4 linked regions of the Lonchura striata genome follow. The protein of the gene in region 1 binds, or shares a complex with, the protein of each later gene. Links are inferred from orthologs where the notes say so. Each region holds a gene or a part of one and is shown in the gene's direction. Other genes may lie near its edges. The genes, in order: STRN3, STK26, SIKE1 and STK24.

Region 1 (7,572 bases):
TACCCTAATCTTTGTACATGGTTAATCCCTTTCTGATATTGTGACTATTTTATCTGCATGTATCCTTATGAATGGCCTGGATTGTTTTATAGATGAAAATATTAAGACCAGAATGGTTTTTTTTAGAATCTGCACAAATGGTCTTATCCAGAATAGATTAAAAAAAGAAAAAAACGAATAAGGTTGTAACAGAGGTAGAACCATAGTAGCACTCAAAAGTGTTATCTGTAATTTATGAGACAATTATTCACAGGATTAGAAAACATTATCAACAGCTTTTGAATCTGTAGGAAAGAGGTCCACTCTTTCTGTAGCCATTTCTGTATTTTCCCACCAGCCCCAAAGATAGCTTTCAAGAAATTTTGTTCATATAAATGGCAGCAAAAGCACACAGTTTTGTGCAGAAAAAGTGGAATAAATTAACAAGTTTGAATAATAACTTAGTAAAAATTTACTTAAAAAGTAACAAGCATAGATGACTTTGAGAATAATGCTAGTGTTAAAAAAATCTTAAGGGTTTCTTTATTTCATTTAGAACTAATTCTGAAAAAAATCCCTTGTAGTAGTAAAAGCATTTGCTTGCACAATTTAGGCAGAAAAGGGAAATGACTGAGTTTTGTTTCTAACAAACAAAATTTATTTCTTCTCTTTTCATCTTGGCTTTCAGATATAGAAAACACGTTAAAATGAGTTTTGCGTATATAGGATGTACAGAAGCCTGTGAAGTATAATAAACAAACAAAAGCATATCTGTGCATGTTGATGCATAAAGAAACCCCATTTCTTCAAGTTGTTTATAATTGAGAAGCTACCTTTTAAGATCAATAATCAGTACTCTACTTAAAAGCCAGCTACCTTTCCTCTGGTACAACTCTTACATGTTTTTCTGAGCATTCTCATGCACATGTCTGCGTGTACCCATGCACACACACAGAGATTACGATGCTTTTATACATGCAGAATCAAATGGTTCAAGGGAATTGGTGACAAGATGCAAGCCTTTCATATCTCTGCCATTATTTTGCTCATTTTAGTAATGAAAAGACATTACTATCTGAAGGCTGTTTGTCAGAAATGAATAGGCTCTCTCATTTCAGGTCACTGGACAACTATCTGCATTACAAATGCGCTTAGGAACTGAAGATTGGAGGAGACTATTGAGATCCTGATGGACTGTCAAGTCCAACTCTCTCCATCCCAGTCAACCATGCGTTAGAAATTTTGTCCAGAACAGCCTATGGTATAAGCTTCCTTGCATGTCCTGCATACCCAATCTACAAAACACCTGTGGAACTCTATCACTGAATAAAGATTCCCTGTAAACAAAAACCTCAGAAGGTATCGCTTGGGGAAGATGTAACAAGTCTGGAAACTGCAAACTTTCCTTCAAAAGAAATTACCTTCTGGAGTGACTAAGTAGCACTCTACTTCCCTTACAAAATACATCTTCTGTAAAGATAATTTGGCATGCATGCAGATGACATACAGTTTTACTACTGAGATTTAAATATGAGCTGTTACAGTGTGTTAGATGTCACCCTCATTAAAGTATCTCTTGCAGATAAGTATCTATGAGAGAAAATTCATATCATGATTGGCCTGTGTGACTCACACTGCAAGGCTGACATGGTTCTGGAGCTGCATGACCACATGAGACACCTCAAAGTAACTTGTCCCTGTTTGAGTGACACTCCTTTTCAGATAACAGCTGAGACCTCACAGAGAGACAAAGCCTGTAATTCTGCAGATAAAAAGATCTTAAGTCTCCCCATGAGGCCAACCCAGCTGATTCTACATGCAGTAAGATAAAGCATATCTTAAATATAATTTTAATTATTCCTCTGGTATAGATACAAACACTGAATTTAGTTTTTCACAGATTTCACCAATATTTATACATAATCTGACACAAAAAAAAACCCAAAAAAACAAAACCACAACCTAAGTTTGAATTGTACTTGCAGTACAGCTGCAATTCAAATTAGACATCTCTCAAACTAAAACCACTCCAGTCAATGTCTACAGATTTAGAAGTATTTTAGTTATTTCAGCCTAAGAAAGGTTTGCAACATTCTAGGGCTCTTAGCTAGAATGTAAGAGATAAAATCTCACAAAAATGGCATGACTACACATTTACAGAACTGCTTCACCAAGTAAAAATAAATGTTAAATAGAACTATAGGCAAATAATTATTTTGCTCTGTAGGTAAATAATGTACTTCCCTGTCCAACTCTAAACAAGTTGATTTTCTGGATGCAGAGATCTAATGGCACTTTATGTGTGCATGAAATGTAGAATCATCAGAAGTCAGAATAATCTGACTTAGAAGGGACCGCCACAGATCATTGGAGTCCAGCTCCTGGCCCTGCACAGAAAATCCTGAGTCACATCCTGTGCCCCAGAGTATTGTCCAAAAGCTTCTTGAACTCTGTCACTCACCCAGCTTAGTGCTGTGACCACTGCCCTGGAGAGACTGTTCTGGTGCCCAACCACCACCCTCTGGGTGAAGAACCTTTTCCTGATATCCCACCTAAGCCTCCCCTGGCACAGCTTCAGGCCATTCCCTCAGGTCCTTCAGGTCCTGTCACTGGGCACCAGAGATGAGAGATCAGTGCTTGCCTCTCCTCTTCCCCTCACGAGGAAATTGTTGACTGCAATGAGGTGTCCCCTCAGACTCTTCCAGGCTGAACAGATCAAATGACCTCAGCCACTCCCCATATGCCTTCCCCTAGAATTAAAACATTAATGAAAATTTTAAAATGGCTAAATGATAAAGGCATGAAGCACAAGGAGGTGTAACAAAAGGAACAAGTATTTTAAAAATATTTGTTTATTGAGCTTCTTATAGATTTATTGCACAAAACCATGTAGCAAATTAAGACCACACACATAATCAGAACCCTTGGTCTTCCTACTTCTGTTCTGTCAGTGGACAAGGCTTTAATAAAACCACATACTATTTTAAACATTACCAGTAAAAGTAATTTTTGCAGTCTTGTTTATTACTGTGCCCATAAAAATTCATCAAAAAGATGAAACAAGTATGTCTGTGTGGCTTTAAAATAAAACACTGTGTTCAATTTCAGGACAGGGATTTTTTTTAAAAAGCAACCTTAATTATCTAGGGAAGTCGAGGGAGGAAGGAAAGAATAAAAACATTTTCCTTTGCTGTTATCAATATGCTGGCTGCATATAGTAACGGAATTAAACTGTAATAACTCCCGTATAGTCAGGAATGAGGAATGTCCTGAAAAACTGCAGCTAAACAAAAGGTTAAACTAATTATGAGCTAAGTCTCAGTTTTTAATAATGATTAGGTAACTGTCAGTAGACAATGAAAAGAAATCAACTGAGGTGGAAAGGAGCTGGATTTAGATTGCCTAATCAGTATGGAATCAGGAAGAATGGACAATGACATTTTAGTAGGAAATGATTTAATGGAGAAGAAAGGAAGAACTGGATGAACTAACTAAAGCATCAATACATACCTAAGGAGAGATTGGTAAAGAAAGGAAACACCAGTACGGAGACAAACAGTATTTTTTTCCAGTAATTAACAGAATTCCAGGTCTGTAAAGAACTGACCTTTTTTAGGAAACTACCCCTCTAGTGAATGAGTACAGCATGTAAAAATTTTGAAGAGAGGGAAAACTAAAGACCTACCTTACTTAAAATGGGTGACCTATGGAAATAGGATGTGATGGTAATTTTTAAGTATTATGTTTCAGAGCAGTATTTTGCAATCGAAGCAATTTCACCATATTCAAACTACAGCCTCAAACACATTGCTATCACTGATAAAACCGAGCCAGATAAAACAGACCAGGAATTTCTTGCAAAACCGTCCTCGCGTGGAAGAGTTCAGAACAGCGAAAATGGTGCACTCTTCCTCCTCAAGGGGAGAATACATTGCACACATCACAACCGAGGTATCATGAAGATGACCAGAGACTAGCCAGCTTCCAGAAACACACCGTAAATTTAATACATCTATTCTAAACCACCTCCTTGTAGGGCAAACTCAGCGCACCATTAAACCGCGCAGAGTCTCAAAAGCCGAAGTGTGGGACCCGCGCTGCGCTGGCTGCGCGTCCCTTTGCGACGCAGGCCCGGCCTGGCCGCATTCCCGCCGACTCTTCCCAGGCGTTCGGCACTCCCGAGCGGCGGGGCGCGCCTCGCCTCGCCGCCGCTTCCGAGCGTCACCCGGAGCCGACGGGGCCCGCCCGGCCGGGCCCCGCCACCGACCGACCCAGGGCCGGCCGGCCGGGGCGAGGCGGCCCCGCCGCGGGCAGCGCCGCCGGCCCGGGCCCGTCCCGCTCCCCCGGGCGCGGCGCTCACCTCCCTCCGCGCAGGCGCGTCGGCCGCGGTTTCCCGGCAGGCGCCGCTCGCTCCCCGCCCGGCCGGTGGGAGGGTGGGAGGGCCGCGGGGCTGTAATGGCGGCTGGCGGCGGCTCCGCGCTGCGCTGACACCCGCACCCGCTCGGCGCAGCCACCCCGCCCGGCCCGCCCCCTCCTCCCCGCCCCAGCCAGCGCCGCTCGCCCCCTCCCCGGCCCCTGCTCCTGGCCCCCGCCGCGGGACGAGGAGGAGGGCTCCCCGCAGACAATGGACGAGCACCCAGGAGCCGGAGGAGGCGGTGGGATGGCGGCCGCCCCGAGACCGCAGCAGCCGCCGCCGCAGGCGGGTGGGAACATGAACCTGCAGTCGGGTGGGGGCTGCGTGGGGGCCGGAGCTGGCGGAGGAGGGCAACAGCCCCAGGGCCCCGCGGCCCCGGCCGGCCAGGAGGCGGCGGGCCCCGCCGAGCTGTCCCGGCCCCAGCACTACACGATCCCGGGGATCCTGCACTACATCCAGCACGAGTGGGCCCGCTTCGAGATGGAGAGGGCGCACTGGGAGGTGGAGCGGGCCGAGCTCCAGGTACGGGGGGCGAGGGCGATCTGGGGCCGGGCCGGGCGGCTCCGGGGGCCGGGCCGCGCGCGGCGTGCGGGGGCAGCGCTGCCTGGGCGAGCGGGGCCCGCGGGGCCGAGCCGGTCGCCGTGGCTGGGGACGGTACCTGGGTGAGTCCGGCGGGCAGAGCGGCGGCACCGGCGGAGGCCCGAGCCGGGCTCCCTCCCCGGGGCAGCCATTTTGGTTTGTAGCATGGCGCCCGCCCGGCTCCGGAGCGGCCCCGGCCCCGCAGGCCGCTCGCCCGGAGCCGCGGCGCGGGGCCCGGAGCGCGGCCCGGGGAGGGCGGGCGGGTCCTGCGCGGCGCTGGGCTGGGACCTCCGCCCCGCCGGCGGCGCGAGCTGCGCTGCGCCTTGACAGCTGCGGCCGGCTCCCGCAGCACAATGACTCCGGGGCTCCTCGGCCCCGTGCGGTACCGACAGCAGGAGCCTCCGGGCCTGGGAGGGAGGACTGACGCCTCCCTGCCGCTCAGCGAGCTCTGGCTTTGGAGGGAAAAGAGGGAGTTAGGAGGCGGCCCTGCCTCCCGGGCAAGGGCAGGACGAGGAAAAGGAGCTCAGGTAAATCGTAAGTAAAAGACTTAGCCAGGCATGCAATTAGAGACAGGTCGAATCTGATCTCTCTTTCTTTCGGACTCGCTTCTTTGGAGATTTCATATCGGAGAAGAGCGAGGAATCGATAAGTCTGCAGTGTGGTCATTTCAGTATACAGAAAAATACCGGCTTCGTTTCGGGAACGGAAACTGAAGAACTTTTCAGGATAGACAGCAAATGTTGGAGTTGCCACATATATTTCTTTCCCCTAATGTTTCTTTTAGTAATAGGATAATTTTACTAATTATTTTTGCAAGTAGGAAAAAAAATCATGCCTAGACTATTACCAGTTTATGAACAGATTGCAAAATCCACTGAATGGGAGGTATCCACACAGGAGCCATTATATTTTTATAGGACAGAAATGTACATAATAAAAATGTAAAAAAGTATTAGCAGACTTCATTGCTTCCAAAAAATTTTTTGTGATTTTTGTACTGAGTGAATTAGTTTATGGTCTTGAAGTAGTGGTCCATCAAATTGCACTGCAACAGCAGCCGGCGTTTGCAAAGCATTTGCTTTTGCATTTCAGGACCAAGAAGTATATCTGAACCTGGGCAATATTTTAGGAACTTCTTGGCTCTATAGTAAGCATGTATTTGGCGCTATTACAGTTACAACTGTAATTAAGAAATAATTAAGACCCAAAACCACCAAGAGAAACAATTGAAGAGACTTTACTGTTTCTATCACTTAACTTCAAGTCTTACCATTTTAAACCTTGTGGAATGGCTGAATTTAAAATCCACGGTGAACATGGGTGGGTGTTTTTAGTGGAGAGCAATTGGCCGTTTCTCCTGTTTTCTCTAGCGTCTCAGTGATATATTATTACGTTTATAAATAAGTTGTGTAGTGTTATTCATTACCAGACAAAACTGCCTTGAAATATTTGTTTTAGGTATGGGCTTGTTACTTTAAAATGAGGTACTGCTGTACCCTAACATGAAGAGTACTCCGGAGAGTTGAAAAGTTGTGTCTGACCGATTTAGTGCTTCCCTGAACTCACGTTGCCTCTGGACTCCCTAATGCACTCTTAGCCAAATCTGCTGCTTTTTGTTTGTGGTTGCTGTTTGTTGTCCATGGCCATACAATTCTTCTGCATGTCTGTGGAGGCATGGTAGCAGTTCTGACCATGATGTATGTGTGGGTTTACATATATGTGCAAATGTAATGGGACTGAGACAGCAGTGTTGCTGCACAGTGCCTATGCACAAGGTTGTTTTTGGTTGATTTTTTTTTTTAACTTCGGAAGCCCAGGGTTGAAGAGCGGGAGGATTACCCTTGGATTTTAGGTCTTAGCCTATGCAATAGTGAAGACTGATACAGGAGTGTGTTGTGAATATTTTTTGGACATAGATGTTGCTAGGTCCGTGGGATTTTTGGTTTATTCTGCAACTTAATTTGTGAAGTAATAGCATATTTTGTGGCCAGTAAAACTGTAATAGTTTGGACCCCAAACAACAGTTTTGTCCCTTGAAGCTAAGGAGAATGTTAATCATATGTCAAATGTGAGCTTTTTGATGATAGAGGCCTCCTGGGTTGAAAGCAAGACAGGAATTCCATAGCATGACAATAGATAATTTATGTGGAAGTGGGTGTTGGATGATTTAGCTGCAACTCTCCTGATGCAGGTAATTTCATTCTTATTTCTTCATTCTTTCAAGATGACAGTAAACTCTATAAATGGTGCTTCTCAGTGCTGGCCATTGCAAGTTCTTTATAACTTTGCTAATGATGTTTTATAAAAAGCATGGAAAAAGAAAATGACCTAGCAATATGTGTGATTTCATTTATGTGTTCTGAATAGAAAAATTTATTATTACGAAGAAGAAGATACTTTCTTATCTGTGGTATGAAGTATTGGGCCTCCTGTGTGGTTTGTCCACCCACTCCCCCCCCTTTCTTTACATGTGTCGTTCAAGTGACTGGAGGAATTGGCACTCCTACTAGGAGTGCTCTTTTCATAGAGGGGCGATAGTGATGGGAGAGAGGATCTGCAGTAATAGTTTATTCTTTCTGGGTTCTTGTAATGACTTTTTT
Region 2 (7,895 bases), on another chromosome or scaffold:
ATTTGCAGCTCACCTAATTCCTCAACCAGAGGTGCTAGTTTTATAAACAGTATTTCCCAGTGTTAGAGTTTTTTTTCCTTCCATGAAACTGTCCAGTCACTTTTGGCCTGTAGCAAATAGTTCACCAGCTTAACTATACCCTGTGTGAAGAAGTGCCTTCTTTTGTTTGTTTTGAACTTGGCATCTGCTTGTTTGATTTAATGATCTTTAGTCTTTACATTGAAGGAGATGGTGAACCAGCATCCTTCACCCACCTCTTCCATCCTAGGCATTTAGCTCAGCCTGATTATTTTCCTTAAAAGTACAGGAAGTGTCAATTAAAAAATAGTTCAGACATTTCTAAGAGGAAGATTGCAAGAAGATGTATCATTTTGCCCTGCTAAGAAATATCATTTTGTTCCCTTTGCTTCTGAGGGAGGATGTGGAGCATCATCCTTGTGTCAAGCACGTACCATTGTTTTCTCCTGAAGAAAATGAATGGTTTTACTATATTACATGAAAATCTCAGTTTTTTACACTTAGCTGGCATTGGCAGACTTTGACAGCTGAATTATCTAAATAATCCATTTGTGCTGGAGGATCTCCATGCACCTAGTGTCCTACAGAACAACTGAGCTGCCTCCTCTGGGGGAACCGAGAGCTGCAGAGGCAACAAGGAAGGTGGGATACTGAGAATACTAGAGAGTGAGGAGAGACAAGATGTGTTCTGGGCATGGGAATGAAGGTGGTAAGCAGAAGTGAATGTACAATGGTCTGGGTTCTAGTCCAGCTTCAAGGCTCTGTAATTTTAAATTATTTATTGGATACAGAGATGTCGAAGTTGTAATAAGGGATTGACAAGGACTACGTTTGTCTCCCTTGAGTTAGTGAGTATCAGCAGCTTCTAGTGCTGGAAATTCTGAAGATCCTAAATAAGTTGCCTTGAAGACAAAGTGATTTACCTAATGCCCATGAATCAGAGACTGATTTATGTCAATGGATTGAGAAATTATGTTCTTAAAAAAACATTTTAATTCTTCCTTTGACATCACTGATGTTCTCATTAATAAAATAAATATGTGGCTCTTTTTCCCCCCTAATTCCAGTCAACTTTTAGCTTGCACAACATCTTTGGCAAGGTGTTTCAGACTCAAAAACATGAAAGGCATTTGAAGTTACTGGTTTGGGATGCTGTATGCCACTTCTATAGGAAACCCTTTAGCTGTGCTGTTTCTTTTGAGAGACAGGTGCCAGGCAGGAGAATTGTGGGTGCCTCTAAATGCATTGCATGGGATTGGCACCACAAGCCCAGGTCAGTGCAACACCAGCCAGCTGAACTTTGCAAAGGCACTGAAGGGTTTGCAACACCCATATCCATCCTGATACATAGAAACTGGGCATCATATTTTTAGACAGATGTGTGAGTTTGCATCAGCTCTGCTAGAACCAGATCAGACACCTGTTCCCTCCCTCCCCCCAGTATACCACTGTAAGGAGTCCTTGGAGTTTGTAAAATACAGTATTTTTATGTTTGACACTCTATTTTTGTTTTATTCATTTATGTTTGAAAGTTTAAGAGACATTTCTACCACTTTTTGTGGTAGGTCTAAAGCAACTAACATGGTGCAGGCACTCTCCAAAAGCTGCATGGTTTTGATAGCTCCCTGAAGTCTTCTGATGTAAAAATAATTATATTTTCACACCAGCAAACAAAAATAGTAGTTAAAAAACATGAAACAGTTGAAGGTCTGACTTGGGTCACATTACTACTGTGAGGCCCTGGGAGCTGTCCTAAGTGAATTATAGACACATTTTAAGTCTTGGAAAACAGCAGCACCAAGTATTTAAAGGGCAGGCTGGTAGGGAGAAGGAAAGGTCTTTCATAGAGCAATATCAGCAACTGACCACCTGTCTTTCTTAATGCACAAACTAGAATTTGCTAATTACAGAGGGGAATACAATATTACAGCCCTTTTCTTAGATGTTATGGTGCCAGTCTACCTCACTTCACAGCCTGGCTCAATGATTCAGTCATTGCATGACCAGCTGATTACCTAAGATTCCCTGACAGGTTTTCCTTCCTGGCTCAGCTCACCATGTCATTCCTGGGCTTTCCGACCTGACTTTTCACAGGATGTTTTTCTTTGTGTTTTTGTCACTGCAGTTCCTTAGTCAACCTGCCATGCACAGAAGACAGCTATAGATGTACTTTCTGGGGAGAATACCTTATCACATGATTCACAGTTGTCCTGCAAGACCAGAACTAGAACTCTCTTAAATAAATCTACTACAGTCCCTTTCATGTTATATTAATCTGCATGCAAGTCAGAAATACATAAAAGGCCAAAAGTCACAGTATGTGGCCCCAAAATAGGAAGAATGGATTGGCAATTAGTAGTCTCTGGTACAAAGTAAACAGGGAGAAAATATGTATAGCATCAAGACAAGGCTGAGATAAACAATTAGCAGGAATCTGGAGAGAAAAATCAAGGTAATATATGGATAGAAAGAGAAAAGCAAAGCCTCAGAACCAGAAGAGGAGCAGCAGGTCTGCAATGCAGTAGCAGCATGAAATAAAAATCATCCTATTTCATTTGTCAGGATTTTTTCAGGGCTTATATTCTAAAGATTATTAAAAGCTAGCAGGAGAAGTGATTTAAGTATATTTGAGCAGAATGAATCAGGCCAGGATTCAAAAGTACCATGAGTGAATATTCATTCATTTATTTGCTGAACCACTGTACATAATTAAAGATTTTTGTCAGTAGAAATCCCCATTTCTTTCCAGAAGTTTATTAATGGAAAACATTTTTGAATTTAATTATATGGTATCAACTTTCAGAAAATACTTACCTTAAACATTCCGCACATTAAAATGGACTCCAGGTAGGCTCATAAGTAACTTAGATGTATAACTAAAACACAGAAGCCTTTTTAAGTCATGCTATTTTTTAAAAAGGTGCAGAAGAAAGTAAACACTTTAGTAACAGTAAAGGCTTAACAAACTGGCAAGTTGAAAAAAAAGTATTCCACCACGATCCACAAGCCCGTCTTTGACAAACATTACTGTTTGTTTTTTGGTTCAAACCACAGTGAGTTAAGGATGGAAAGACTGCCTAACTTTGAAATTCTTGTCTTCAGCTTGTTTTCACACAACCTTACCTTAAACAGAGGTGTTTTGTGTTCCTTGCCCAGTGCAACATTCCTCTAAGTCCTAAGAGAGGGAGACTGCCTGCTGTCACATCCTTTCTGAAGGGACCCACCCTCTCAGCAGGATAGCTGTGGTATGGCCAGCAACCCAACACCTCCAGATTACCTTACTTTTTCTTGGCTTTTAGATCTAGAAACCTGTGAATTTGAGGGAAGCCTTCGCATACCCATGAGGATATTTGTGATGGATCCATGATTTCTGTACTCTTGGTCAATGGGCTTCTGGGGAAGACTAGTGCCATAAAAGATGTCAGTTTGAGATTTGCTTTAGTAACCGGCAAAATTTACATGTATAGGAACATGAATCACACACACTAATGTGTGACTCATGCATGAATGGGGAAAAAAGTCACTTCAAAAATACTGTTATTTTCCCCTCTCTAGGCCCTGGTAGAATGTTGGGGCAGCCCAACTCACCAGGAAAGCAGGTGGTGGTGGTGAAGGACACAGGTATGTGTTGGGACAGCCCTGCAGCAGCTGGTGCAGAGTGGGGAGAGCTGCCCAAGGAGGGGGGAACACCCCCAGGGGAGCCAAGAAAGAGCCAACCACCCTGAACTGGGAGCTGAACCTCCAAAGACCAACTGGACCTGCCCTCACCACCTCTGCCACAGCTGGCTGTCAGGAGCACCCCTGAGACAAGAAGACATCACCACTTTTGTCACAAAAGCAAGTAAACCCCATCAAATATTCCCTCAGTTATTTGTACCCGGTTACTACCCTGTGTCTCCGGGGTGCAGGAGCCAGCGGCACAGGGGTGTTGGGGACAGTGGGGCCAAGGAGCAGCGCTGTGACTGTGCAGGAGGGACCCCATGACAGCACCCAAGGGGTCAGCATTGCTGCTGGAGAGGCTGCACCTTAGTGCTGCGTCCAGTTCTGCGTTCAGGAGGGACACTGAGGTGCTGGACTGGGTCCAGAGAAGGGCAGTAGAAATGGGTGAAGCACCTGGAGCACGGGTGTGATGAGAGCTCTCGAGGGAGCTGGGGGTGTTTGGCCTGGAGGAAAGGACGCTCAGGGAGGACCTTGCTGCTCGGTGCAGCTCCTGACAGGAGGCTGGAGCCAGGTGGGGGTCGGGCTCTTCCCCGGGGAACCAGCCACAGGACAAGGGGATGAGATCTTCACTGTGCCAGGGGAGGCCTAGGTTGGACATCAGAAAGAATTTATTCACAGAAAGGGTGATTAGGCTTTGGAACGGGCTGCCCGTGGAGGCGGTGGAGTCACCGTTCCTGGAGGTGTTTAAGCAAAGACTGAGCGTGGCACTCGGTGCCCTTGTCTGGTTGGCAAAGTGGTGTTTGCCATCGGTTGGACTCGATGACCTCAGAAATCTTTTCCAAGCTATACGCTGGTCACTCTGTGACAGCCGGGCGGCCGCGACCCGGGCCGTGCTGAGGCCGAGGGGAGCCGCGGCCCCTCCCTCGGCCGTGCCCCGGCCCCGGCCCCGGCCCGCCCGGGGAGGCGGGCGCCGTGACGCCAGGGCCGTGCGGCGGCTCCGCCCCGCGAGGCCGGAGCCGAGACGGAAGCAGCCGCCGCACAGCAGCCGCCGCCTGCAGCCGGAGCCCGACATGGCGCTCTGAGCCAGCCCCGGCCGCGCCGAGAGCCGCCACCCCGGGGGGCCCCGAGCAGCCGCCCCCGCGCCGGGACCGGGGAGCGGGGCATGGGCAGGGCCGCTGCGGGGAGCCCGGCGGGCAGGGGACAGCGGCGCTAGCGACCCCCGCCCGCCCTTCGCGCAGCGCAGCCCCGCGGCCGCGAGGTGAGGAGCCGGCGGCGGGCGGGGGCCGGCGGGCAGGGCGGGGAGGGAAGGAGGGAGCGCGGCCCGCGCTGAAGCCGCCGCCTCCCCGCCGCTTTGTCCTTCCAGGCCCCGCCGCCGCCGCCCAGGAGAAGGAGGCCGAGATCGGGGAGCAGCGGGCGGCGCCCGCCCGGCCGCCGCAGCCCGCCATGGCCCACTCGCCCGTGGCGGTGCAAGTGCCCGGCATGCAGGTGAGCTCCGCACCGGGCCCAAAATGGAGGCGGCGGGCCCGGCCCGGCTCCGGAAGCGGCGCTTGCGGCCCGCACCGGGCGGAGCCGCCGCCGGGGCGCGGGGGGCCGCGGGTGGGCGAAGCGCCGCGGGGAGGCCGCGTTCGGGCCGGGGCAGGCCGGGCCGCCGCCTCGCCGGGGCAGCGAGCGAGGCAGGGAGGGAAGCAGGGGCTGCTCCGAGGCAACGGGAGGCTTCGGGGGCCGCGTACCTGCACCCCGGCGGAGGAGAAGGGATCCCCCTCCCTCCATGCCTCCCTTTGTTCAGGGGTGGCCGCGCCGCATCCAGGAGCACGTAAGAGCCTCTAAAACTGATTAAAGGCGAAGTGAAGTTAATCGCAGGGTGTGTGGGTGCGCTGTAAATGACATAGCAGGCGCGCTGGCAGGCGGACCTGCAGCAGGACTTCCCCACCATCCTGGCGCTGGGCCTGTAGAGCAGCTTCCCGGAGGACCTTGGGATTCACGGAGAGGTGGTATCCGCCAGGTCTGGTGGGGACAGAGCACCGGCGAACGCAGTCTGTCAGAAACCTGCACCTCTCCTCGCCTGGGAATCAGGCCTGGTGTCACTTTTCTATGTTTGTGTTACCTGCTTAGGAAACAAACAAGTTGGTGTGTTACTGACTTTCATAGGAAAGGTGGAATACCTCTGACTCTTCATTCTTACTCCACTGGACAATCTGATACAAATTTAGCCAGATATCTTTATCAATGTAAAGATTAGCTAATTTCAGTGCTGATTTTTTTTCTTGTCAGGTACTGGCAGCCCAGTCAGTGTTTTTGAGCATTCTCTTAACTTCTAGGATAGTCATACCTGTATAACATCGGAGGTTTTTTTCAGTTCAAATACAGAAACATTTATGATACATTTCTGTGTACGTGAGAGATACAGTAAAGAGTTCAGGAGGCTTCAGAACAGAAATATATCTTTTGGTCAGGTAACTTTATGACTTCTACAAAGTGTAGAATTGATATATAAACAGTATTTACATATTTATAAGTATAAGCCTGTTACAATGCTATGGTTTAGTTTACCTTTCTATTTTCTAATAATTTCTAGGCTTTCTGAAATCTGTTAAATTGTGGTAATTCACTGACTTTCTGTTTCTATAAGAGATCACAAGCCACATCTGCTCAGCCTAGTTGTTCCATTGTGTCAGAATAACTGTTGCATTAGAACATCTTAAAGAAATTTTGTTATAAAAGATTTAAAGGCTTTAGTCTGAGCTTCTTTAATTACAGCCTCTGGGCTTTCTAGTGTGTTTGTATTTGGGAAACTTCTGTTTCAACATTCTAGTTTGTCAATTTCCTATTTTTATATCTGCTTAATGTATTGCTGTTCTATTTTCTGTAACTGCCAACACAAAAGGACCTTGAAATTATTTAAGGTTCTGTTTTTTTCATTGTTACACCAATAAACTTTATCCTAGTAGCATCCTTATCCCCACTAGTATTGTTAGTAGTTTAACTCACAGCCCTTAACATATATGAGTATGTTAAAAACATTTTTTAAACTATTAGATAAATCCAGATGCATAGAATTAAAACACACTTTTTCCCTTGGTGGCCATCTTTTTATGAACGTGATTACACAAGTCCTGAAACCCTCAGAATACAAAAAAATAGAATTTGGTGTGATATTAATCTGCTCATCCTTCTAGAAGAGTCCTAATACAGAGGGTTTTCATTTTTAAAAAACCCTAACCCAAACACAAAAACTTCATGACAGTCTGAGATGGAGGAGTTTCCTTTGGGGTTTTTTAACCTATCTGGACTATTCAGGCAGGATCATCTAAGTAATGGTAAAAGCGTGCCTGCTTCTGCTCAGTGTTAAAGTAGGTGGGTGGTGATTGATTAAAGAAGGAATAAACAGGTTCCTCTGTGATGCAAGATGTAATGGTTATGTTAAAACTACCACTGTGGAATAGTCACAGTGATATTGTCAGAGAATGTCACAAGTTTGAAGTTTTCAGCTTTACTGTCATCTTATGCTTTCCCTTACATTTGATTATACAAAAAAAAAATCAAGAAAAACACAAAAACAAACATGTTATGTAATTTCCATACTCCAAAACCAGACCTTAAGACATTTTATTACCAAAGTATATCAGATGCTTTTTTGACTCTTTTAAGATTTTTCACCTTATGAAGAGTCGGGTCCCCTTTAAAAAAACTCAAACATGGAAAATTACAGAAAATCACAGAGAGTTATTTTGGTGGACTTGCAGTTTGACTTTAGTCCCCTGACAGCAATTGCAGACCCAAAGGTGGTATTATCTGTTGCCCTTATGAGTAGTTACAGAGCCATTTGTTTATGTAGTGGTTGCATTCTGTTTAACCTGTCTTGTGTCCCTAACAAAACCAAATTTTATACCTAACAATTCTTGCTTCTGCAGACAACTTCCTAAACACATTCATTTTCCTTGCTCCTTTGGAAAGGCTCCCCTTGGTGCAATTGTACAGAGTTAACTTAGCCAGCTGCCTAACTTCTAAGCCCATTCAGTAAAATCCAGGTACTCAGTGTATGTATAACATGAGTGGTCTGAAGCTGAACATGATACCACAAATTATGGCATTTTATGCAGAATCCAAGATGAGATGGAAAATGGAAAGGATAATGAGCACAGTTAAGGTGTCCTGGTTACAGGAAGCACAGTTTGCAGTGAGCTTGATTGTCAGGTTTGAGGTTTTATTCAGTAATG
Region 3 (7,788 bases), on another chromosome or scaffold:
ATAGATCTTCCAAAGGTTCAGGAATGCTGACACTGTTGGGATTGTTCTTCATGGGTGTGGATGAACCTCTCAGTCCCGGGTGAGAAGCAGCCCAAAGCCTTGTGAGTACTGATTTTGTCTGATGGTGTTACTTTGCACAGTGAACAGCTCCCATGTGGCACTGCAGAGAGATGTTCTTTAGTGTGAGATAATAGAAATACTCTTTGTTTTGCATCAAATGTATCAGACAACTACTCATTAGCAAACTGGACGAGAAATAGCTCAGAAGATGCATTTTTTTGTTAAATTCTTAAATGCTTTTGTGGGATTAAATGATGAAATAGCAGACCAGAAAGGAAGAACAATTTAAATCTTTTTAAGACTCATTTTTTTCTTAATCATGAAGTTGTTGGATAGTTTCACCTTGAATTTTCTTACAGGTTTGTAAGGCCAACCTTGAAGAACTAAACATTATGTGAAGTTTCAGTTCAAGAAAACTGAAGATGCCTTAAACTCACCTGAAAGTCTCAGGACCCACAAAATGTTACTGTTTCTCCTGTTTATTCTCTTAAACTTAATCTGCAGTGGCTGAAGGCAGAGTAGGTACAATAAACCCATCCATTCAACCTTGACAAAGTTCCTGGGTATCCTAACACCTCCCCCTTTCAGTTCCCTCTGCCAAAACTGTTTCCCCTTGGCTGGAAGACCAGATTTGTTAATCAGATACTCCAGCAAGGCACAAAGTGGAAGAAAGCAAAACTATCAATTAAGTTTGATTACAATCCCCAGAGTTGGTAGTTCATAGAGAATACTCCTAACTACAGGCACTGCAGTACTTTATATGTACAGCAAAGGGAAGCCAAGACCTCATTTCCATAAAGCAGATCTTGACACTCTATGTTAAGCATTACAAAATAATTATTCTGGAATGCCTTGCTCAGCATTTTATCAGCAGTGGTCTTGCTGCTGAGACTGAACTAACTGGATGTATCCATTTATCAATGATAATGTTTTTCCTTTTTTCCAGCCTGGATTCCATCTTGAGGACATTTGTTTTAACAGTAGAAAGAATATTAGACTCATAAGTGTGAGTGCTGTGGTGCAGTGGGTGACTCCTCAAGATTTATCAAAGCAAGATAATTAGTATGAACAATAAGACTGAGTTCCTTGGTAATAATTCTTGTCACAGGACAACTCTGCATTATCCCACTTTAATCTACCTTGAAGTATGGGCTGGGAAGTGCAAGAGGAGGATTCCTTTGGGCTCCTGGCCCGTGAGTCTCTGTGCTACACTTTTGTTGAAGGCAAAACCAGTGAAATTGTGACAGTAGCTGAGAGCTTGTCTTAACACTACCACTTAATTTTAAAAGCAAGCAGTCAGAAAGTGTTGGGGTGTGTGGTGTGAGAGGGGGCTGGTTTGCTTTTTAAACAGCTGTAACTGCTGAAATAGTTGGGTTTTGAAGGAAGGGCTTCTAATGGAAATGAGAATTGTCACATTCCATTTTTAAAAGCTTGTGCCCAGCTGCATCACCATGGGAGACTTTTGCTTTCAGACACTTAGCCACAATGTTTTTACCTGTGCTGACCACACTTACAATTAATATAATTTTACTGAAAATCCAAGAAGTATTCTAAAGATTTGCCCTTTATTCTGTTCTCTAATTCCAATATCTAGATGTCACTCCATCTGTCACAGACATTGCCATTTGATATTGATCTGTTCATAGAATTCCAGAATGGTTTGGATGTGAAGGGACCTTCAATCCCATCCTGTTCCACCCCTGCCATGGGCAGGAACCTTCTACCATCCCAGGTTGCTCCAAGCCCCATCCAGCCTGGCCCCTTGGACTCTTCCAGGGATCCAAGGGCAGCCCCAGCTGCTCTGGGCACCCAGTGCCAGGGCCTGCCACCCTCACAGGGAAGAATTTCTTCCATGTATATAACTTGAATTTCCACTCTTTCAGCCTGGACCCATTTCTCCTTGTCCTGTCCCTCCAGTCCCTGATGAGGGGTCCCTCTCCAGCTTCCCTGTAGCCCCTTCAGACCCTGGAGATGGCTGTGGGGTCTCCACACAACTTCATCTTCTGAACAGTCTCTGCTCTCTCAGCCTGTATCCATAGGGGAGGGGCTCCTGTGCCCTGAGCAATTTTGTCCACTTTATGTCCAGCTAGATTTCTTTTCTTTGTGATTTTCCTAATGTTAGCAAGAGCCTTCTCAGCTGTACTCAGAACTGTTATGTATTTATCCCAGCACAGAAATACTATTTCTGATTTTCCAAAGATGGCCTGGGAGCAGTTTGGGCTCTGCAGCAGCATTGTTGTTCTGAGTGTCCCAGTACTCTGCTATCCTGCCTTCACTTCTCCTGCTACAACAACCCCATGTTCTGTTTGACAAAATACAGCCATGTGGTTAAGAGTTATTAAAAGCATTAAAACATTAACCTCTCATAACCCCATTTTTCACTTTGTACACACACATAAGTGTTTAATCGAATTGAAGTTAAACACTAAAAAGTTTGAGAGGCCAAATTTATACATTCTATTTAGTTTACACAGAATTGCTGTGATAAGCCAAAGGAATTACAAGGCACCCCTACTCAGAAATGCTCATCTGTTGATTTGTTTAAGCTCTGTTGCTACACACTCAAAGTTTTGGTGACAAGCATTCCCAGCATTTAAACCAAGGATCTTTGTCCTACTGGGATCCTCTCTGTGTCCTGGCGCCACAGGAACTCACTCTGCTGTCCCTTGGAGCTGGACAAATGATTCCATGTCCAGATCTGCTGGAGAGCGGCTGAGCCCCAGCCCTGAGTGGGAGCACGGGCTCAGGGCAGTGTGACAGTGGTGTCATAGATTCTCATCTCTCTCATCGTGGAATTTTATTCCTAGAAGCCAGAATGCCACAGAGGAAATAAACTGATCCTGAAATGACAGTCTGGTACAGCAGTGCTGCCCTCACCTACCCCTGCTCTTGCCTAGGGCCAGGATGGCACCTCTGACACCAGGGGGAAGTGAGTGTTAAATCAGAACTATAAACACAAGAGCTGAACAGGCAGCTCAGATACATCCTGGTGCAGCTCCTGCAGCGATGAAATGATGAAATGATCCTTCACTCTGCCCAGACTGTGGGTTCCTGCGGCTGATTTCCTAGGGATGAACTGGAATTCCCAGGGCCACATCTCTCAATGGCTCATTGAGTGCCTGAATTAAGTGGAACCTCAGGGACTGCAAGTTTGGTTTCACAGAAATCCCTGTGTTGGAGAAAGTGAAAAAGGAAAAGATGGCTCTGGCACACAGAGCTCGTTCCATGGAGCTGTGTCAGGCCTGCTCTGTGAGCCTGCCCAGGCTCTGTGGAAATGGGAGCTCTGGGAGAGGCTTTGGAGGCAGGCACAGAGCTGGGAATGGGAGCAGAGGGAGGCAGCAGCAGGTGCTGAACTGCACACGAGGGGTCATGTGAGGATGTGAGAGTGGGACAGGAAAACCAGCGCTGGCTAGGGCTTAGGGACGATGTGTCCATTTTGGGACAGGACGATTTTACCCAACTTGTTCCATACCCAGGATGGTCCACAAAGCAATATTTGTCAGTTTTCCAAGTGTTCGTGACTTGCCTATTAGGAAAAAGGAATTCCAATAAACTGTCCTAACTTTCTAGTAGTCTCTAATAAGATGAAAAATAGGGAAGGACCAGAAGGTCCTTATATGCTATAACATGGTCTGGGCTTTTATTTCCAAACTAGCAGAAGGATTACATTTCCCAAATTTGCAGAATAGTTCTCATACTTTACTAATTAATCTGATTCTGATGAAATATTCCAACTGCAGCTGCTTACCCTGTTCTCTTTTGCTTTGTGTGCATATTTTGAGATTGTTGATTTTATAAAATTATCTCGTTCAGCACTTCTGCACCAGCCTTGATTATCTCTGGGATCATAAAGAACCTTCATCTGATAGAGCATCCTGGAGTTTTCTCATGTGTCTGTGTAAATAGGGATTTAAATTAGGAATATTATTCAAATCAAAGGCAGTCCTGCTGAAATATTATTGTTGAAAAACATTGTTAATGAAGCTGGTGCTATTGAACAAAACTTTGTGGTACAAAGCCTCAAGGACACCCCAGATCACCAACAGTAGCTTCAGTTAGCAAATAAGAATCAAAGCAGCGAGTCAGCATTGCACAGCTTGTTATTTTGAGTGGCGGATGTTTACTGTTGGAAGAGACAAACAGCAGGATCAGATAAGATGGGAGCCCCGCAGATCCCAGCCGGGATTGATCGCGCTGGGAGGGAGCAGCCGCAGAGATAAGCGGGACCCGGGGTCAGGGCCGCCGGCCCTCCGCAAACAGCCTGTGTCGATCGGCGGCCTCTCGGAGCCGGCCTTGTCCCGGGCTCCCCCCACCGCGCTGGGGCCGGGGCCCGGGGCTCTCGGGGCACGGGGGGCTCGGACACGCGGGACCGCGGCGTGGGCAGCTCGTGGGACGGGGGCACATCCACCTGGGGCAGGCGGCTTTGGGGCGCCGTGTGCCGGGGGAGACCGGCTTTGGGGCGCCCCGAAACGCCCCCAAACCACCCCAAAACCAGCCAAAGCTGCAGAGCTCCGAGCATCCCCCGGGAGCGGCGGGGGCAGCCCGGGCCCCGCCCCCGCTCTGGCCCCGCCCCCGCTCTGGCCCCGCCCCCCGGGCCGGCCGTGGCGCTCTGGCGCCGCCAGGCGAGCCGCTGGCGGATGGCGGGCTCGCGCCGGGCCGCGCCTGCGCACTGGCGGCGCCGTGGCCGCGGGCGGAAGCGGCGTCCCGGCCCCGCGGGTTCGCGTCCGCCCGCGCCCGGCGGCGGGGCCGGAGAGGCGCCGAGAGCGGCTGAGGGGGGAGAGCGGCGGCGGGGCCGCGCGGGACATGGGCCCGCCGCGGGGGTGAGCAGCGCCGCCCGCCATGAGCTGCACCATCGATAAGATCCTGACGGACGCGCGGACGCTGCTGGAGCGGCTGAAGGAGCACGACACGGCGGCCGAGTCGCTCATCGACCAGTCGGCCGTGCTGCACCGGCGCGTGGCCGCCATGCGGGAGGCGGGCGCGGGCTGCGCCGAGCAGGTGAGCGCGGGCGGGGCGGCCCCCGCGCCTCGGCGGGGCCCGGGCGGGGCGGCCGCACCGGCCCCCGCGTCTCGGTAGGCCCGAGGCGGCCGGACCGACCCCCGCGTCTCGTCGGCAGGGCCCGGGCCCCGCGGCGGAGCGACCCGACCCGTCCCGGCTGCGGCCGCACGTGGTGCTGGCGCAGGAGAACACGCAGATCCGCGACCTGCAGCAGGAGAACCGGGGTGAGCGGGGCCGGGGGCGGGTCCTGGCGGGCGATGTGCTGCGGGGCCGCGGGGGATGCTGAGCGGTGTGCGGGGCTGTCCCGGTGGGATGCGCGGCCGCTGGTCCCGGCCAGAGGGGCTTGTCGAGGAGAGCAGCGGCGCTGATGCCCCGGTGGGTCGCGGGTCAGGGAGTCTCCTCGGCCGAGGGGGTCCGCGCAGCCCCACCGCAGTGGCCGGGGCGGGGAGCGGTGGGGCAGCGCCGGTCCCGCAGCTGGTACCCAGCGAGCGCCTCGGGGCTCCTGTGGCTGCCGGTCGTGGCCCTGACGTGCTGTGTTCTGCAGAGCTGTGGGTCTCACTGGAGGAGCACCAGGACGCGCTGGAACTCATCATGAGCAAGTACAGGAAGCAGATGTTGCAGCTGCTGGAAGGGAGAAAACGTGAAGAGGCAGAGCCAGTCTTGAAAGTCCATCAGGCTAATTCTGGGGTAAGGTGGGATGGGGACAGGAGAGTGCTCAAGACCCTTGTCCCCTGCTTGCTGTCATGCAATCTTTGTTTCCATTCCTGGAGTGTCTGTGCCCCAAAATACATTTTCTCCAAATCTTGACTCTCTTTGCTGGTATTTTACCCTCTGCTCCTTTCAGAGCACACAACCAGTAATAGCTGTCCCAGAGGACACTGAGAGGCACAGCCCCTTCACAGCCCAGGTGGAGGCTTTTACTTTTAACTGGGTGGTGAATTCCCTGGCTTAAGCTTAATGTGCCTGATCCTCTGTAGTAAAATCAAAGATGTACAAGTTGTTATAATTCCTATTCAGTAGCTGTAACAAAGGGGAAAACTCCTAAACTCTGTGAACTGTATATGTTTAGTTCTTAAGCGATTTTACTCCCTAGTGTTTTTAAATCCAGATACTCTGTGTAGTAGTCTAAAGTGTCCTTTTTTGTACATTGGGCTCAGTGACTTCAGTACTCTGAGATGTGGCTGCTGATAACTGCTGCCTGTTTCCTATTAGGTATCTATTAACAATAGAATAATGTTACATTTCCATTTAAGACTTAGGAATTGTGTTAGGCATTTTTTAAAATGCATTTTATCTGCTTAGAGAACAGCAGGTTGGTTCAACCCAGTGACATCTCATATCTTGTAGTTTTTTAATTGGAACTGGAGCCAGCCTAACTCCTCTCATGTCTTTCTGTGCACTGATATGTGGCAATTCACTTCTCTTTTCTAAGTTGCTTAACTCATGTGAAGGTGTAGCTGGGTTTGTTTTCCAGTGCCACCCTGAGTGCACGAATTGCTGTTTATCAAGGTTTTACATTTGAACAAAACTTGACAATGCAAAGCTGAAAGGGCTCTGAAGGAATCCTTGAAGGGATATCCCTTGATTGTCTCAATGTCTAGACAAAGTCTTCTGTACTTCAGGTGAAGTCCATGAGTTTTTTTCCTCCCCACCATTTGGAGAACATTAACAAACTGCTTATTTCTTTAAAAGAACTATGTTCTCAGTATAACCATCTTCCTGTTTAGAAAAAATCATAATCTTTCTTCCCAGAAGTCTCTCGTGTTCTCCAGCTGTCTTCTGAATGCTCTAATTTGTTTACATTCTTTCTGAATAATGGACTTCAAAATCAATTCTCTGCTCTGTGATAAATTTATCTTTCAGAGGTAGTAGAAAAACTATGGGCACTTAAAGAAACTCCACCCTGTCACCTGTCACATTATGTGATGTATTGCTCTTCAAGCAGGAACTGTTGCTTCATACTGGAATTTGTCAGTGTTTGTTCCATGTGCATTTCTGACCTTCAGCAAAATGCATTTTCCAGAGGATTATTGCTGTATCTAGACAAATTCTGTAAAATCTGCCTCAGGAGGCTCTGATCTTACTTGCTCTACTTTTGTTGCATGATGTTTTTCTGAGGTAAAGTTGTTTACTCCACACTTGAAATCATCTTTGCATTTATTTTTGGTGTCTTAATAAATTCAGTCAGGCTTTTCTAATAAAGCTAAATAAAATTTGCTGCCTACTAATCATGAACCTGAATGCTGTCTCAGACCTTGGCACACTTGAAATTATTTCCTTTTAAGTCAGGGTGCCTTATCTTGATGCCTGCTGTGTCTCTCTGCACTGTTTTCACTGATAAAGGACTGCTGATAGAGGACAATAAGGTACAAGTTCTTATTCTTGAGTATACAAGACAGAAAGGCTTTCAAGTCCTTGGGAGGAAATTATTAAAATTCAAAACAGAAAGAAAATCCAAAATCAGGAAGATGGAAGTAAGTGATTTATAAGGGATAAATTATGACTGTTGCTTTTGCCTCAACTTACTGAATGTATTAATTTTATGTCTTTTAGGAAATTGAAAGTCAAATAGACAGAATATGTGAGATGGGAAAGGTGATGAGAAAAGCTGTTCAAGTGGATGATGAGCAGTTCTTTAAAGTTCAGGAGAAACTGGCTCAGTTGGAGGTAAGAACAGAGGTCTCCAGACTTTCTCTGTGTTTTCTATGTTCCTGTCAAGGACTTAAAAAA
Region 4 (6,892 bases), on another chromosome or scaffold:
GAATGTAATTTAATAACCAAATTTTTTCACCTTCAGCATTCACAAGACTTAGAGTAGAATGCCATTGTGGATTTCCAGCTCTACTTCTGTAATTGACAAAACCTTTTTCTGACAAGTGGCTTGTTGAACCAGAACATAAATGCACAGCCAAATCTATCTGTAGAAGGCAAGCTGTGTGCTTTTGAAACTACACAAGCTTCCTCTGCTGGAAGAAATACACAGCTGCATGGCATCTTGAGAGGAAGAAAGGCTACATCACAAACTTTGTAGAAGGGACACCCTTTCACATGGAAACTGAAAACTGAAATTTTAAAATTTTGGTGGAAACAGAGAAAACACCAATGATTTGTAGGTGTATCATTGCTGCATAGTTTGGAAGTACACTAGAAACTAATCTTGTGGTGCATATACTGCCAAAGGCAGGGAAAATATCAGTCCTGGGCAACACAGGGATATTTTTTGTTATTTATAGAAAATGTGCTTTTTATCACTAAAGATATATATTTTTTAAATAAAATTGCATCCTACCCTTGTCTGGTTCCTTGGCTCTTTCCTGGGAGAGTAGTTGCTGTTTGAGCAGAAAGGAAAGCTTAAAGTTGCTGTTTGATCTCCCAGAAAGGAAAGCTTAAAGGACTTGGTATTGATCTGAAAAGAGAAGCCATAGTCAAGATGACTCAGTGTGCAGAAATGAACATTACTTATACCTTTGGAGTTTAATTCACTGATTTAGATATTGCATATTTATAAAGTTTTCCCAGAAAGCTGCTTTTCTGTAGGGTGACATTGAGGATATTTACAGCACTCATATTCTGACATTCTTCTACTCTGCTGAACCCCCATCTGCTGGCATGTCACTCAGCAGTCACGCACTCTGAGATTGGGCTTTGTTTTAGTTTCCCCCTCATGATGATTGGCAATATGAAACTGTCAATTTTCTTTAGTCTCTTTCCTAGCTCAGTCATGGATATGCTGAGCAAGATGGGTCCCATCTTGGTCCTGCGACAGCCTACTGGTAACACCCCCCACTGTGAAAGGTTTTTGTCTTTTTCTTTCCTCTCCAACCTCAGTTAGAGACCCATGTGAGGACTTTCCCTCTTGCCCCAAGAACACTTAAATTCTTAAAGGTCCATTTGTGAAGATCCTTGTTAAAGCTGCTGTGAATTGTGTGATACAGGCAAGAGTCACACTTATTATTATAAATCAAAAAAGAGCTGGGTACCTGGTGTACCTTTCATCTTAGAAAACACCAATGACCTTACATTGTTCATTTGAGAAGTTTCAGTGTTTGTCAGTAAGGAAAACATTTTTTCTTCACACATATTTATAAGCAGAATTTCACAGTCACAGTCTTTACAATTATGTAATATTTTTCTTTTGTAACTCTTATCTTACTGTTAGAGATGGAAATGTTACAATTTATGGCTTAAACATAACCAGCAAGGCAGAAAATCTCTGCATATGCAAAGTATTATGCTAAATTGAAAGCAAACCAGTTATTGAGAAGTTGATATGTAAAATAAATTGAATTTTTGAATGCTTGGAACGTCTGGCTTCAAAAAGATACATCAGAGATCTGTCTTAATGATAAGAAGTGTTTATTTCCGAAGTCTCAGTCATTGTATTGGGATGGTTGGCTAGCATAACATATAATCATTCTATTTAACAAATAATTCTTCAAGACTAGCCTTTCTTTGGACTATAATACACTTTTTTTTTTCTCAGAAAAGATTAAAAAACCCACAAAAGGTTGAGAAAACAAGAGGAAAATTTGAAAGGCTTCTGTTATTAAGTCTGTGAGATGGAGCTGAAATTTAGACAGAAAGACTAGCATTTACAAAATGAACAGCAAACACACACATTCATTATTTTAAAATTACATTCAAAACAATTATTTAAAAGTTTCTACAAGTTCTGGGAGAAATTGGAAGTGTATCATAACATGAGTTACAGTATAAAATTTAGAAGCTGACAAGATATTAGACCTTCTAATGCATTGTTCTGACTTCATTAGAACTTGGACTAGTATCTGGTTTGTGACTGAAGAGTTTTGAATCTGCTCCTTTGTTTTCCTGCATTTGGCAAGTAAATCTGCCCACAGAGTTTATTCCAAAGCCCAAACAATATTTTTTTCAGGCACAGAATCTTGTTGAACATATCATGCATAACTTCAAAACCTTGAGATTAAATAAATCCACGATGGTACACAAACAACAGGAAGACCTCACAGTGGCCCCAGGCCAGGAGCTTACACGGTGGAAGTCACTTCAGAGCAGCGTGGGAAATTTTCGGTCCTTATGCGCCTTGAGCTAGAGAATCTACCAAGTCAAGTATTTTCCTTGGGAAAATTAATTATGTCCCAAAGAATATACTCATGGACAGAAAATAACAGTTGTATACCTTTCATAATACAAAAGAGAAATTTTTATTTTGATTCCACACTGAATGTGCAACTGCAGAAAAAGTAAAGCAACTAATAAAATCCATAATGGCCATATAGGAAAAAAACCCAACAAAATAAAACTGCATAAACAATAGTAAAACTGACATTTTCTCAATTAGGATTTTTAATATTACGTGATGTAGCAGAATTTCAATGATATTCATGAGACAAAGGAAAAGGTTCACTTGTAGCCTACTGACTTTTTCCCTAGCAAGTTAGAAAAACTTACTGCAAACAGTGGAGCAATTAAACATTTTTTTTTTTTTAAGAACATTGCAAAAATGCTTTAGAAAACAATCAAAATAGAGAGTTTTGATACTGATTCTCATAACTGTTATTTGATTTTTGATTGAAATAGAACACAAATGAAAACACTTTACATTTCTTTGAAAATTACATACCAAGCCAAACCCCACAGAATCTCCATTCTATCCCAGCATTAAAGAAAATTTCAACTCCTTCATGAACAACTGAAAAAATAATTTCAATATTTCAATTTTCAGTTTCTAGCCATCATCCCTTTTTGTTTCACTGTACTCAAGGGCTGATATATTTAGTTTACCAGTTTACTTAGTTTATTTTCTCAGGTAAAACACCAATGTGCTTGTGTGTGGGTACACTTATCTACCTGCATAAGGCTGTTGGCTAATTTTATTTGAATAATACTTTGACATAGACATCTTAGGAATATTTATGTATCTCCAAGTTTTAGGAAAACCAGATTGGGCATTAACTCAGCCACATAAGAAAACAAAGATTATCCAAACTATAGGAAAAACTTGAGTGGAAGTTCCAACCAAATTTTCAATAAGACCATTTTCTATTTTCAAATGTTTCCTGCAGTTAAGAGATTTGTACAGACTCTAGTGAATTATCAAGTGAAAAGCAACTTATGCTGCAGTGGATGCTGACATCATTTAACAAAATCACTTGGAAAGACAGCGAGCCTCGTTATCCCATGGATGCCAGACCTACCGGCTGACAGGTTTCAAAAACTTTTAACACTCATGAAGCTCCCTACGTTTTTTTGCCGGGGCGGAAAAATGAGAGAATTTTAGGACATTCCATGGCACACGGGAAGCTGTGCGACTGCGCTGTTAAATTCCAGTTGTAACAAAGAATAGAACATTGTCGAGTTCTCGAGGGATTTGCATGTACGCAGAACTCCTGTGTGGGAGAGACCTCAGTGCTGACCCACTGTGCTCCCGCTTGGGAACTACAGGAGAAGCACGACTGGCATTTTGGGTTGCGGCTTCTGACAGGAAGCCAAGCGCTTCCTTCTGCGGAGCACCGGGGTTGCGGTGCGTTCCCCGGCCGTGGCACCGGCACCGGCACCGGGACCGGGACCGCGACCGAGCCCGGCCCCGGCCGCGGGGCCCCGGCCGCGCCCATGGCGGCCCGCGGGCAGGTACCGCGCACGGCAGGCGGGGCCGCCGCTGCCGCTCCGCCCCCTCCTCCTCCTTCGCCTCCTCCTCCCGCCTCAGGTTTGTCATCGTGTCGCCGGCACGGCCCGGAGGAGGAGGAGGAAGAAGAGGAGGAGGGATGAGGAAGCCGCTGCCGCCTTTGCATCCGTGACGGGGCCTGGAGAGCCCGGGCTTGGGACGGCCCCTTTCCCACCGCCGGCGCACAGGCGCTGCTCGCCCGGGGGAAGGGCCAGGAGGAGGAGGAGGAGGGCGGCGGTGCTGTGTGAGAGGGAGCGTGGAGATGAGCTCAGCTCTGTGCCCTGGAGCCGCCTGAGGAGACTCGGCTGCCTCCCGGCCTCCCTCGCCGCCGCCATGGCTCACTCCCCCGTGCAGGCGGGGCTGCCGGGGATGCAGGTGAGCAGCTGCCCCAAGGGCGGGCACGGACGCGCACCTCGGGCCGGGCTGGGTGCAAAGAGGGGCATTCCCGGCGCTGGGGGGACAGGAGAAAGCGGCTCTTGACCCTGGCCCGGCCGGGCTGGGGGCGGACGAGCGGGATGGAGACGAACCGTGCTGTCAGCGCTTGGCGTGGCGCCCAGCGAGGTCCCTCCGCCCGGTGGATCCCTGCCTGCCTCTCTCCCTCCATCCGCCCTCGGCAGCCGCTCTGTCCCCGCAGCGGGCGGAGCGCGGCGTGCCGTGTGGCCCCCTCCCCGGCCGGCAGTTCTCCGTGTTTTAATCCCTGAAGCCAGCCACGGCTCAGTGGGCGATTTTCGGCCCCGTTAGTTTGGGGTGCGTGGGGGAAGCATGCATAAGCCAGTCGGTACAAGCAGGGCCTGGCAATGTTGACCTTCAGCGCATGCTGCAGTGCCCGTGTCTGTGGTGCTGCTCTGAGGTGGGTGCTCGGGGATCGGGTTTGGCTCCTGTGTTTGATTCCGAGAGTTCGTCAGCTGCTGTTGTTACACGGTGGAATTTGCTCGTTCTGTGTCTTAACTATGTATTTGAAATAACTAGTGTGGTTTTGTGCTGACTGAGCTGGCTTAGTCTGAGCTCGATTTTCTTGATTTAAATGGCAACTGCTGCCAGGAAAACATTAAGGTCAGTGGTATCTGTGTGTTGCTATACTAATATTCCCCACATCCGATTAGAAACTTTCTTGCCCTTATCTTCAAAGGGACAACTTATGAATGACATGTAAGAGTTTCTCTTAAATTTGTCTCCTGGATTAAAAGTGTTTGTGCATCACTTGGTTAAATATGGATTTACCATAGTTTGTTTTATTGTGAGTCAGGATTCTAAGTCATTAATTTCTTTTCTTTCCAAAATCTGAAGATTTGAATTGAAAATATTACATGCTTAGGCATAGCATGAATTATGTGCTCATACATAGTAGTGGATGCCCTGTAGCCTACGTAGGCCCACCCTCTGAGCTAAGTAATCTATTGCTGTGTAGGTCCTGCTGTTGAGAGTTCCAGTTCACCTTTCAAATATGAGCAGTTTGCCGATTGCCAGAGACAAAGAAATGGTTTCTTGATTGACTATGGATATTGTTTGGGCTTTTTAAAAATTCCCTTGAGACATATTAGACTAAAACAACTGCCTGCTTTGAGACAGAACCTATAACACTTTAGCATTTAAAAATCAGATTTGTAGCTGCTTGTAAGTGAGAGAACGAAGATTATTCCATCAGTATGCATGTACTGATGATGTATGCCACTGCATGATCTGAGGACTTGTGCTTTTTATTGGCTTGGTTTATTATTTGGTTTGTAGTACTGTTAGCTCTCCTGAATGTGTGGCTCTTCAGGGTTCTTGTTAGTCCACATAATTTGGGACTTTGCTTCAAATAATTTTATTCAAAATGGTGTTCTTTTTCTCATGATTTTTATTCTGTTACTGTTTGAGTTGCTCAAGTGTAAACTTTCATAGTCTAAAGAAAACCCCCAGAACACCAAACCAGAGATCTGCCGATAGGTAGAGGCATAAATTCTGTGAGCAATGTGAATGCTGCTCACTAATTTTCTGTGCCCAGTTCAAGATGTCTGTATCCATTTCCATTCTGTCAGAATATATAGCAGTTTTATAGTGGTCTGTTCTCAGTACACAATTCTCTTTGATTTCACTTCCAAATAAATGTTCAAAGAGTAAAGTACATACCATGTGTGACAGCTGCTTAGATGAGAAAAAGATTTGGGACTTTTTTGTTGTGTAGAAGAGAGGAATATAGCTTAGTTCTCTGGGTTATAATTAAATTGCCTAAATCACGGGACCATCTCTTCTTTTTCTGTAGTGTGATCCCTCCTCCCCACCTACCAGCTTCTGCCACAAACGGTGGAAGCAGTGTCAGTGACAAGTTATGCAGCTTTCTCTGACATTCTTTGCTGTACTCACACAAGAGAGCAGCCATTGTGCTTGTGTGAGCAGGGTAACTTCTTAACCCCAAAAAATCACTTGGAGGGACATCACTTTTATTAACGCTGTTTGGCCTGAGCATGGTAGTGTCAGTAGAGTAGAGGAATGAATGATTAATATATTTCCACCTAAGCAAGATGTCTGATCCATGTTTGAAGAGTGATGCATAAAAAGTGAGTGGGTAGAAAGTGAGCCAAAGGAATGAGAAACTGTGGAGGAAATGTAGGATGGTGTTGGAAGGTTGTCAAAACCTGAGATTTGCTGTCTGCTGCACAATGGGCATGCTGTAACCTGAATTGAAATAGAGTTGGGTTTTGACCTAAATTTCTGTCTGTGCAGTTTAAGTTCAGACTTGAAGTTTCTGTTGTTGTTGTTTTAAGGGCTCTGTGTAGATACGAGTTTGAGTGTGCAGGGTGAAGATCCATCATGACTAAACTGAGGATGTGCTGTCTTGCTTCTTCATGCCTCATGAAGTGGCCTGAGGAGAGTGTGTGTTTGCCTGTAAACGTGTGAGATTCCTGCAAGACTGGCTCAGAGTAAGTGTATACGACCTTGATTTTCAGACTGGCTTGCATTTCAAGGCTGTGGCAAGCTTATGGAGCTTCTTTAAGGAAGCTGTATTTTAAATCAAGTACTTTGTTTA

The links.
Region 2: STRN3 (region 1) and STK26 share a complex: the UniProt entries of both Homo sapiens proteins name them as parts of the core of STRIPAK complex. The link is inferred for Lonchura striata from reciprocal best matches to the Homo sapiens genes STRN3 and STK26.
Region 3: the proteins of STRN3 (region 1) and SIKE1 are in contact, whole or in part, in a crystal structure (PDB 6AKL), measured with the Homo sapiens proteins. The link is inferred for Lonchura striata from reciprocal best matches to the Homo sapiens genes STRN3 and SIKE1. Residues at the interface, in NP_001077362.1 of Homo sapiens: Arg176, Leu179, Tyr182, Leu183, Val186, Tyr188; in NP_079349.2 of Homo sapiens: Glu96, His97, Ala100, Leu103, Ile104, Ser106, Lys107.
Region 4: STRN3 (region 1) and STK24 share a complex: the UniProt entries of both Homo sapiens proteins name them as parts of the core of STRIPAK complex. The link is inferred for Lonchura striata from reciprocal best matches to the Homo sapiens genes STRN3 and STK24.

The regions. Positions count from the first base shown.
Region 1 is NC_134608.1:27,182,283-27,189,854, forward strand, and holds the start of STRN3 (striatin-3), read left to right. Parts: upstream 1-4,559; 5' UTR 4,560-4,603; coding exon 4,604-4,915; intron 4,916-7,572. UniProt on the Homo sapiens protein: Calmodulin-binding scaffolding protein which is the center of the striatin-interacting phosphatase and kinase (STRIPAK) complexes.
Region 2 is NC_134616.1:7,630,381-7,638,275, reverse strand, and holds the start of STK26 (serine/threonine-protein kinase 26), read left to right. Parts: upstream 1-4,892; 5' UTR 4,893-4,936; intron 4,937-5,041; 5' UTR 5,042-5,121; coding exon 5,122-5,163; intron 5,164-7,895. UniProt on the Homo sapiens protein: Serine/threonine-protein kinase that acts as a mediator of cell growth. Modulates apoptosis. In association with STK24 negatively regulates Golgi reorientation in polarized cell migration upon RHO activation.
Region 3 is NC_134632.1:1,913,432-1,921,219, forward strand, and holds the start of SIKE1 (suppressor of IKBKE 1), read left to right. Parts: upstream 1-4,776; 5' UTR 4,777-4,899; coding exon 4,900-5,058; intron 5,059-5,176; coding exon 5,177-5,282; intron 5,283-5,602; coding exon 5,603-5,745; intron 5,746-7,611; coding exon 7,612-7,725; intron 7,726-7,788.
Region 4 is NC_134604.1:77,899,001-77,905,892, reverse strand, and holds the start of STK24 (serine/threonine-protein kinase 24), read left to right. Parts: upstream 1-3,886; 5' UTR 3,887-4,215; coding exon 4,216-4,257; intron 4,258-4,510; exon of another isoform or gene 4,511-4,696; coding exon of another isoform or gene 4,697-4,732; intron 4,733-6,892. UniProt on the Homo sapiens protein: Serine/threonine-protein kinase that acts on both serine and threonine residues and promotes apoptosis in response to stress stimuli and caspase activation.